2 linked regions of the Drosophila melanogaster genome follow. The protein of the gene in region 1 interacts with the protein of each later gene in a pairwise test. Each region holds a gene or a part of one and is shown in the gene's direction. Other genes may lie near its edges.

Evidence for each region.
Region 2: the proteins of Membrin (region 1) and Sdc interact in a two-hybrid assay, tested with the Drosophila melanogaster proteins (one large-scale study listed by BioGRID).

The regions. Positions count from the first base shown.
Region 1 is NT_037436.4:5,363,950-5,368,775, forward strand, and holds Membrin (membrin), read left to right. Parts: upstream 1-2,505; 5' UTR 2,506-2,649; coding exon 2,650-2,786; intron 2,787-2,855; coding exon 2,856-3,369; 3' UTR 3,370-3,432; downstream 3,433-4,826. Other genes in the region: Uev1A (Ubiquitin-conjugating enzyme variant 1A), read right to left, coding at 1-66, 135-260, 994-1,136, 2,180-2,207; Pfdn4 (prefoldin 4), read right to left, coding at 3,454-3,825, 3,951-3,995. UniProt on the Drosophila melanogaster protein: Involved in transport of proteins from the cis/medial-Golgi to the trans-Golgi network.
Region 2 is NT_033778.4:21,477,229-21,483,712, reverse strand, and holds the start of Sdc (syndecan), read left to right. Parts: upstream 1-2,536; 5' UTR 2,537-2,699; intron 2,700-3,334; exon of another isoform or gene 3,335-3,356; 5' UTR 3,357-3,529; coding exon 3,530-3,622; intron 3,623-6,484. Other genes in the region: Sara (smad anchor for receptor activation), read right to left, coding at 1-520, 670-1,488. UniProt on the Drosophila melanogaster protein: Cell surface proteoglycan that bears heparan sulfate. Required for axonal and myotube guidance, is a necessary component of slit/robo signaling and is required in the slit target cells.

The DNA.
Region 1 (4,826 bases):
CAGCATCGTTTTTATATTGTACTCGCGACTCCATCTGGCCAACATCTGAACTGATCTATGATCAACCTGTTGCAAATTCAAATATATTAGCATTCGTCGTTGTTTATATGCCACATTCGATTGCTTGCACTTACCACGCCATTGTTCTGATTAATGCAGTTAATGTTTACTTTAGTTATAAACCGGAGCGTTGGTGGCTCATCCGGATAGCGTTCGCCGCACTCGATCTTTAGTGAATACATTCGATTCTCGAATGGTGTCTGTAATAAACACAAGAGTTTGCCATTAGCTTTAAATGATTCTTGAATGATTCAATACTCTGTGCACTTGCGGCCAGAGTGTCGATGAGTCAGGCGCTCCCATTCCCCTTAGTCCACCGCTTCTCCACTTTAGTTGCCAATGCAACTAAACCAAGTTGGGGCTCTGTTAGAAGACCCTGCCACCCAAACTCCTCAATGATTCATGCGGCGGCGCGCGCAACACTTCTAGACTATACAAAAATTAAATGCAAATTTAGTTTTCCGCCGCTTTCCTTGCTAGTAATTCAAGGCTAGAGCCTTGTTTTCCCCAATAAATGCATGTAAAGTGGAATATTTTCTTGTGAATAAAATAAGAATAAATTAGCACGAGCGTTTCTATACCTATATTTTCTAGCAATAATCCCAGATTGCAGCTTGTAGTTTTCATATAAGATTAAAATCTAGCAGAGGTACATTTTATATTCATATTTACCACATAAGAAGCTAATGAAGCCAATGACTTTTGAAACCCACACTCACAATGAGTTGCATCAGCGGTGCTAATGAAATGCAAATATTATCAAATTCCATCGCACTGAAGAGATAAACTGCCTTCAAAGATACAAGGTGCTATCCAAACTGAATGGTCTGCGCAATCTAAGCGATAAGATGTCAATAATCCTACAGAATTGCCTAATAAACCGGGCTTATCTGGTGACGTAGCGAGGAAAGTCCAATCGATATGGAAACTTACTCTAGGCGGACCGATGATCATGCCGATCCAGTAGGTGAGCGTCATGTCGTCGTCGTTCTCCAGGCCCCACGATATGGTGCCATCGCCCACGCCCTTCTGGCCCTGATCCAGCTCCTCCAGTAAGCGGAAATTCCGTGGCACCACTGCAATGTGAAACGGCAAAGAGGTGAGAACTCGATGACATAATGCATTTTCACTGAAAAACTTAAATCTTTAAATATAGTCATTAAGTTAAATGTCAGCTTGTTTTTAATTTTCTGGTTGGCGGGGCAAGAAAGTACTTAGCTTTCTAAATAATTATAATCACGGGCTCGTACAGATAAGATACATATATATAATTATAAACGACAGTTTTATCTATTTAGAAACAAACTAGTAAGGACTGTTCTACACATTTTCTATGGTATAAACCATTTTCGGTGATATTTCGGCGACTTTTCCTCTCAGTGTGGGGTCATATGGGTACGTGTTGTTGTTGTTTTGCGCTCTGCTTCTCGTGTTGTTTTTGTTTTCGGCCGTGTGACTTTGTACGCATTTTCGTGCAGAGAACACAAGTCAAAAAAAAAAAATGCGAAGCGCAGATATTAAGCACGATGGGCGCGGGGGGAGGGTGTGTCGGCGGGGGCGGGGCGAAAGCATAATTTCTGCATTTGCAAAAACAATCCAGGCAAATGTAAATGGCAGCTAATTTAATTAGAAAAGACAAGGCAGCTTGCAAAAACGCAAGTGTGCAAAAAATAAGGAAAATAAAGAAAAAACTTTAAGTATGAAGGCAAGAAGAAGAGCGTGCGCGAGCGAGCGAGCGAGAGCCACATAGTGAGGAAGGAGCGGGGATGATATTTCGGAAAATGTCAAGTCACGAAGCCCAATTGCAACGGAGTTTTTCCAACGCCAAACGCGGCCAAGGAAAATTGCAAGAGCAGCGTGGTCCGCTGGCGAAAATAAATTTCCATTCGCCCATTTCGCTTTTATCGGCTTTCGTCTTTCGCCCTTGCTTTCGTCTTCTTTTTGCCCGTTTTGCACCACACACACAATCACATTGCGGTCCGCTTGTCGGGTCCGTAGCGGCGGAAAAATCGCCGCCGGTCAGCGGGAAATGCAGAAAACGGATGGCCAACAACTCCGGGCGTGCGGGGATCGCATTTTTAAGCTGCCAAATTGCTAATTTATCAATTTTATTTCTTACCAACGCCGGTACTTGATGTATTCGCCATTGTGGTTAATGCTAAGTGCTAAAATACCGTAAAAGTGTGCTAACGCGTTTCCAGTGCGATGTGACCAGTGCGGTTTAGGTTTTGCTTGGCTTGCTTAACAACTCTGATTTTTACACCGTTAACAGTGGTAACACTTAACAGCGCCGTCAAGTGCAATATTTGGTCACTAATTAAAAATCATTATTTAACAATATATAGCATATTCTCTGAAAATAAAAAGGAAATTTAATAGTTGCATTAGCTGATAAGTTTGTCATAATATATGGTCATACCAAAAACGGCAGCCAGCTGCTCTGCTATCAGTGCTGTTAACTAACATGACACTCTGTCCAATGTTAACGCGTCAGCTTTTTTAAAAACAAACCAATTGCAACCGATTAAATATTAATTTGCGAATATTCTCGGGCCCATAAATTAATGCGGAATCAATAGGTGTAACGACATGGAGAGCTTGTACCACCAAACCAACAATGTGGTAAAGGACATCGAGCGCGATTTCCAGCGACTGAGTCAGCTCAGTGCCCAGGAATCGCTTGACGTGGAAAACGGCATTCAATTGAAGATTACCCAGGCGAACGCGTGAGTTCTACAATGATATATATTATCCCAAGAGGAGTTTGTATTATTAAATAAATCTTTTGTGTTTAGAAACTGCGATCGGTTGGATGTGCTGTTGTATAAGGTGCCACCTTCGCAGCGACAAAGCTCCAAACTTCGTGTGGATCAGCTGAAATATGACCTGAGACACCTGCAGACATCACTGCAGACGGCGCGGGAACGAAGACAGCGACGGATGCAGGAGATCTCCGAGAGGGAACAGCTGCTGAATCACAGATTCACGGCAAACAGCGCGCAGCCGGAGGAAACGCGCCTGCAATTGGACTACGAACTGCAGCATCATACGCAGCTGGGTAACGCCCATCGGGGTGTGGACGACATGATTGCCTCGGGCAGCGGCATTCTCGAGAGCCTGATCTCGCAGAGAATGACGCTGGGCGGAGCGCACAAGAGAATCCAGGCGATAGGCAGCACACTGGGTCTGTCCAATCACACGATGAAACTTATTGAACGCCGGCTGGTCGAGGATCGTCGGATATTCATCGGAGGAGTGGTGGTCACCTTGCTTATCATCGCCCTGATCATCTATTTCCTAGTGCTCTAATCTGAAGACATCGCGTTTAGTTGAGTTTAAATTAAATGTACTCTATTTTGTAAAATGTTAAATTAACAATTGATCAATTGTGGATTAATCCTCGGCCTCCAGTGAGATATTGCTGCCGAACCGCTGGTACAGATGAGCCTTCAGCTCGTCCATTTCCGCCTTGATAACCTTCGCCTTGGCCTCCACGCCGGCGATCTCCTTGAGCACCTGCTCCTTGGTCTCCTTCAGCATGTCCTGTGTTTTCTCCAGCTTGTGCGAGAGGAACACCTCGCCAACCAGGAACGGTATGTCCTCGTCCTCGTCGAACAGCTCAATCTCCTCCAGCGCCTCCTCCAAGCTCTTCAGCTCATTGCGCTTCGTTTCCAGCTCCGCTTTGAAGTCATCCATGCGGGCGTTGTGCTTCGCAAAGCGGTTGATCCGCTGCTGATCCTCGAAGGAGATGTGCACGTCATCGTGCTGAAAATGCGATTTAAAATATATATCATAAATTTCAATTGAGCAGATGCACAGAAAAAACCATGACAAAGTGAGGTTACTTTTCATCTTAGTCAGCTGTCCTTTGATGATTCACCCATACTCACGTTCTGGAACACTTTGTTCGTGCCGCTCGCTACTTTTGCTGCCATTTTCCCGTTGGTTTTAATTAATTTAATAAATAATTTATGATATTTTACAAACAGTTGCTGTTTTCGGTGCTTCGCAAAAAATTTTATTTGTTTAACATTTTAGTGTTGACAAACGGAGAGCAGTTAACAGAGAGAACGAGGCGTTAGGCTATTTTACAGAAGTGATTCCGCTTTAGCAATTTATTGTTATATCTTCAGCACTTATATTTATTTAAATAGTTATGTTTAATTTTTTATGACTATGTTGAATATAAAATATATAAAATATTTAATAAGTAGGGTTAATAATTTAGATATTTGCTACCTTTAATTTTGTCACTTAACAGTGTAAGTAACGTGTAAAAAAAATGATTTTGTGTAATCTTACAGTGGAGTACATTTAAAATGTACATATCCTGTGTAAAAACATTTTCAAGTGCAGTTACTTTTTAAAAACAAAAAAAATTTGCTAAAATTATATGTCCTATGCTTACATTTAAATCGAACTATTTTATAAATAGGTAAAATCTAACTTCCTTTAATTTTTTTTTAAATTAGTAAAGTATTAACAAATAATGCAAATTCAATGAGAGTAATTACTTATCAACGTTTTTTTTTCCTACTCTTTAGTATGTGGCACTACAAAACTTAACGAACGAATAAAAAAAGCGTATTAATTGTTTCTGTGATTCAGCCATATTATTTTCGCCACGAATTAAGCCTACCGCACACAGCTAATTAGTCAAAGTTATTATTGCTTCCTTTTTGGCCATGCGATTGAATCACTAATTGTTTGCACATGTCACAAATTAAGCAAAAACTAATAAATTATTACAGTTAATCGCCGTAATT
Region 2 (6,484 bases), on another chromosome or scaffold:
TTTCCAGGGCATCCGTTGCCAGGCTGGCATCTTCATGCTCTCGATCGACCTCCACTTCGCCATCTAGTTTCCTGCCCGAAAGGGAATCCGATTCCGTGCTGCTGAAACTGGAGGCTACATCTTCTCCCATCGCGGTAACTGGTGTGGACTCCGGCTGCTTCAGATCAGCAAACTCCACAGTGGAGGCCTGCGAAAAGTTGTCCACGTTCATCTGATCGTTCGAGGTTGTCTCCTGCTCATCGGATAGAATCCGCACCGACTCCTCCTCGGTCACTGGCGAGGCGGAGCAGGATTTCTCATCGTCGGGCATTTGCTGATCGTCCGCCTGGTTGTCATCTGCATCCATCTCTTGCAGCATGCTGTCCAGTTCGGTGTCCGAGATCTCGTCCATGGTGGAGCAGAAGGTCAACGGTTGACTACGCCTGGGATGCTGCTCCTGTGGCAGCTCCACATCCTCTTCTTCCGTTTGTACTGGCTGCTCCATCTCTTTAGGGACCGGTACTTCCGCAACAGATGCTGGCTGAAAATGTAACACCATTATTAATAAACTATACTATATGTCAAGATAGTTTATAACCTTAATTGATTTATGAAGCTGATAATATTTTTAAACTAATGCGCTACACTTATTAGTCATTTACACAAACAAAGTAAGGTAATAGTACTTACTAAATTGGCCAATGGGACATCTATGCCGTTGGTCATTTCGGTTTCGGGTTCTCTACTGGGCGACGATTCCTCCGAGAGCTCCTCGAGGACCTGCCCGAGAACAGACGATGCGGTGACCTCCTCCGGCAATAGGGATTGCGATTCTGTGCCGGACGCAGTGATGGAGATGGATGACAATCCAACTGCTAACTCCTCTACAGTTTGTTTGGATTGCGTTGGCGGTGGAACAGCCTGATCTTGGTGCTGGTCCTCATGCTTGACCTGTTCCGGCTGTTGATCCTGTTCCTTTGGCTCCACCTGAACTTCACTCGTTTTCTCATCTTCGGGGGGCGTTGCTAGCTCCTCCGAGTGACTGCCATTGCTCACGGGCGACGGACCCGACGAGAAGGTGGAACAGGATGAGGTGGTCAGCGATTCGGAGGACGATACTATCGTCTGGCCGTTATTTTTGGACGCCTGTTCGCTGAACTTGTGGATGTCGTCTTCGTGTTCCGCCTCCGTTTGCCAGTCGTAGCTGGGTAATTGGGCATCCACCTGCAAGGACTTCACATTTTCCCTGTAGTCATCCAGGCTGTTGAAAACCTGAGAGACGCCCACAAAGGACTTTCCAGACGCCGGTGTTGGTGTTACTCCCGCAGCTCCCGATACTCCGGCGCCAGCTCCAACTCCACTGATCGATGCACTTGCTCCGTCGCCCAGAAAACGGCCAGGATTTGCACCTGCAGCTGCTGCTGCCGCTGCATTTCTACTCAGCTGCTCATCGGCGGCAATGCTCAGTTCCAGATTGTCCAAAACCTGATCAATGTCCACCAAGTCCATGGCCACCAAATCCGCAGAAACCTTAAATAAAATTGAACCAACCAGGTTTATCTGCTTGCATTTTCACAAAAACGCAAAAGAGAAAAAACAACACAAAAAGATGTGGAGAAAAAACGGTCTTGTGATTCATACCTTTTTCACACCTCGAATATAGTCATAACAAGGCAATGAGGAAAACAAGGACGTATTCGCCTTTAATAAGCAATATTAAGCACCTGCAATCACCTTATTTACTTTGTTTTCTTCTCGCTAATTTATTAACAAAAACTCGGTGACGAAAAACATTGTAAGAAACTGCCTAAAAATAGCCATGGAAACAGTGTTGCAAAGACAAAAAAAATTAAGTCAAATTAGCACCTTTCTCATTTAGTATTTTATGATGCTATCTCGTTCTATCTTTCTCTATAATCTGTTACTGTTACAATGTTAACATAAACCGTAACACCTTTTCAAATTTGAAAATAATAATAGGTAAAAGCTGTCGGGTCCTACACGAATATGAATGCTTCAATTGTTCAATATTAATGCGTATGAATTCAAACAAATCTATTAACATTGGGTCTGGGAAATTTTAGCCGCCAGTCTGTGTTTTTAAAAAAATGTTGGGTTGTACAACTGAACTAACAGTATCACAGAATAACAGTGAACGTACGAGCAACCGAAACAGTGTAAATCAGTGTAACCGCAGCTTAGCTCAAGAAAAATACTATAAGCATTTAAATATGAAATCTTGCCGATTTAAATGAATTCAAAATGTTAATTATATTTGATTGAATTATTATTTGCCTATCAAACATTTAATAATTCTATAATAATATCTTAAGCAAATCATGTAAACAAACAGTAACATAAGAATAAAACCAAAAAAATTCAAGATGTTAAAGTAACATTTTTAATCGCGAAATTGTAACAGAAATATATAAATTTTAAATGAGTACGCGTTTCGGAGTGTCTATTTAAGTCATCACCCAGCTAAGCATAAGAATTGGTATTTTTTAGGAAATGCACAGCTTGGATAATTGAGTCGTTTCTGCATCTGGTAACATTGGCCAAGTCATTCGAAAAAATTTTACGGAGCGAAGAAGGCACGGTTACGTCCGGATTTTAGCGCGATTTCGTGTCTGTTGTTTGGTCGGCACTCGAGTGTAAAGAAATTTGTACATCCCCGAAAAGAATCGCGAGTGCAATTTTGTAAATACGGAGAGGAAAAGGTGCGCAAAATAGCAAAAATAAATGCAACGAAAATAAACGCAGCAAAACAACGGGCAGAAAGATACGAAAAGAAGAGGCAGGCGAAGCAGAGGAGAAAAGAGACACATAAAGAAGCCGCCATAGCGGCGTTAGTGGGAAAGAGAGGGCGCGAGAGGAGACGGAGAGCGAATACGAATGCGTATGGTGTAGTTGTAGTGGTGGGCGGTCGTGTTTTTTTTCGTTGAAAAATCTCTGGATTCAAAGGGAAAAACAGAAAAACAAAAGGAAAATACAGTGTATTATACGAAAAATTTGTTAAATTTTATGTTTTTAAAATTATAAATTACAAAAATCGAATTCGATTAAAACACCCACACACACACCAATACACACAGTAGTTGCGCTGTTGTCTCCTCTTTATTTTTGTGTTTTTCTCTCTGCGTAAACGTTTTGTTTATTACCCCCGCTCTTCTACTTCCTTTCTTTGATTTTAGCCGCGCGCGCATACGATAAATTGTTGTTAATTTTACAGTGTGTAATGCTTAATTAATACCCTGTCTCTCCAACCAACGCTATCTCTTTTGTTTTGCAATTCGATTGATAACACATCGGGAATAGTGTGTGTCTGGAAAATAAATAATCATAATAATCATAGTTTCATGTGTGTATTTAAACAGCGTTCTTCTAGTGTGAAACCAGTTTAAAAAGCTGCAAGAAATATATATAGCTCAATATATATATTTATATATGTGTGCCGCCGCCAGTTCTAATCTTTAAATCAATAAACAAAACTGGAAGCCATTAGCTGAAATCACAACAACAGCAACCGCAGAAGAAACCAACGGGGAAAATGAAGCCAAAGCAGAAGATTTCCGTAGAGCCGCTATTGCTAGTCGCAATTCTCATCGGAGTTCTGGTAGCCGCCACCCACGCTCAAGATCAGGTAAGATCTCAAAAATTACACCCGAAACTACCAAATGTTATTAGTTTACGTTGAGATAAGCCAAAATCAATGGCCAACTTCAAGTTTACCTGGCCAACCGAAATTTAGCCGACTTTGTGATAATATTAATGTGGCTTTAATGGCCATTGAATGCTTATTCATATTAATACGTCACACAGCTTGATTAATTACGAATGGGTCATTATTAGACATTGCTATCCTTTTGTAACGACATACACATGCCCACCAGTTTGGGCACAAAGTGGAGCATTTAAGTGGCCCCTTTCAAAAGCATAGTTGCGTAAGCCCATTGCTGCTTGTAACTGCTTACCAATTAAATCGAGGCAGATTCAATCAGCAATCCGAACTCCCAATTTTCGCCACCTTGAGAGGGTTCGGAACTCCAAGTTCGGTTCGATTTCTTGTTCACTTCAGTTGTTTTTGCGGTTTGCGGTTGTCCAATGCTGTTTCTGTTGTTCTTGTTGTTCTTGTTGTTGCACTTATCATGCAAAATTCGGCAGCCCCAAGGTGGATACATGTGTCATATACCCATGTACCATGTGGCAGAGGCTTGACGGGCAACGGGCATGGGCATGGTCAATCTCCAAGGCATTGCACTGAATGCAATTTGTGGCTGCAGATAATGAAGAGGAAAGGCCTCCATGTCCCGATGAATGTAAGCCGTAAGCTTCTGGCTCCATTGCTCCACTCCTTGGCTTCTTGTAGAAAAGACATTAAAAACGTCTGCATTGCGAACGCATAAATATGGCAGTGAACTAGACGCACAGACATCGGCACTGTGCAATATATATATATAGATAGTTATACATAGATATAGATATCGATATAGAGGACGAGGCGGCTGCTGGTCAAATAAGGCTGCAAATCCGAAATGGTCATCGACTCCAACGCATCGCATCCAGCCATCCATCGATGTTGTCGACTGTTACCCATTAGCGATGAGAGATGAGTGCCGCCACAGAAACAGATATGCCGCCACGTTCATATGGGGAATGCTACTCGGAGATATAGAGATGATTCAATTTCCGACGAATTCCTTTCTATTCGTCTCTCGTGCTTTCTTTAATCACCTGCTCTGCCCAATGAGATCATTTGGTGTCTGAATGTGCTGTTTTGAAAATTGTTTACAGATTCGAAACTGGCCTCTTTGGTGTTTTCCACTCATCACACAGTATTTTTGTCATTAATTGAGTAGTTTAATTTAGATTTACCGATTGTAAACTCTGCTTTTAAAGGGTGTTAACTTAGCAAAACCGGTTAAATTAATGGGCAAGTTGTGTAAATTGCTTAAAACAATTGCCAAGTTGACATTTATGTATTAGTGAAGGCAAAAGTTGGATTTAAACTGCATAATTTCACTTAAATTCTAAAAACTAATTTGAAGACTTGAGTTGGATTACTTATCAGCTTTTCTTGTTATCTAGCGCAATTACTCACATTAAGATTTATTGGCTGATAATAAAACCAGCTAATGAATCAGGCCGCAAGCCCAAAGGGCAATATTAATGTCTCCTTCTTATCTTCACCAAGTATTTTATGTAATTTAGCACATTTATTACATTCCGTGCTTTCTTGTTAGTTAATTATCCGAAATTAGAAGTTCTATTGAGATACGGTAAAAATTTAACAGCCAGTTTTCTTCATTTTCCGCAAAGAGTTTACAGTTGCATTTTCCACAGCTCATCACTGGAAAGCACTTCTTGATTTGGGCCTGGGTTCTGGGCCAGTTTTTGATACAACTTCTGCTACTGGTCACGATGATCTTTGGCATCGTCTGTTGCCAACAAAAGCATCCGGCTATTGCCAATTTCGATGGCTGTGTTTGCCTCTTTCACTGCCTGTTTGTTTGTTTGTTTGTTCGCTTGCCTGTTGGTTTGTTTGCCTTTATTGGTGTGTGACTTATTGGCCCGAAAAATTTCTACACACACTACTTGCACATAAATAGTGCGATGGCCTTTTACCCCTTCGCAAACGCCCGCCCGCCCCTCTCACCCATCTAAAGCAGTCTGTAATCTTGTTTTTGCCGTTCCTTCCATCTTGTGTCCTGTTTTTGGTGTTTGTCACTTGTTTTTGCCAAAATTGGCATTCGTGGTTATGCCCCCCTCCTCGGCTCCTTCGTAGCTCCTTTCCCTGTCGTCGAAAACATTTTGAGAACGTGCCCGGAAAATTGATGAGCAGCACGGCGAGAGATGGCTATAACTTCACCGGAAAGAGGGTGCAAGTTTAATGGTTGTGACTGCTGCAAGTGCCACACTATCTATTTTCCGTTGCTAGCTGTTGCCTCATTTACAAAGTTGGCATAAATCCATTATCTATGGCCATATCCTAATGTCCCTTAATACGAGCGTAAAAACATTTTAATTTTTTTTTTTTAAACATTTTAATATAACAATTAGGATATAAAGGTAGTAGCATTTTTTTGAATGTAACTGTAATTAAGTGTGGAAGTTAGTAAGGGATAACACTCGGTTGCATCCTCTCACCTCAAAGGTGTGGAAACCCAATGTACCACGCCTCCTTTTGCATTGCTCCCTCCCGTTTTCCGCATCCCTACCAACTGCCTGCTGTTTGTGTTTATTTTCCTTTCTTGGAATACCGATTCACATTGCCAGACGGCGACAGACAGCGATAAGGTTCTGCCGATATTGGGTTTTCCATTCGATCGATTCTGTGGATCTGGCTACCTAAACAACAAACACTTCCTTGAACTGGGTAATCAAATTCCGATTTTTGTCCGCTGTAGATGGTGAAGGAAATTTGAATAAAAGATTTTTTTAAGGTTTTATTTGAGTTGCAGATTTGATCGTTGCTCTGAATCCAAGTTGAATCATTAAAGTTGCT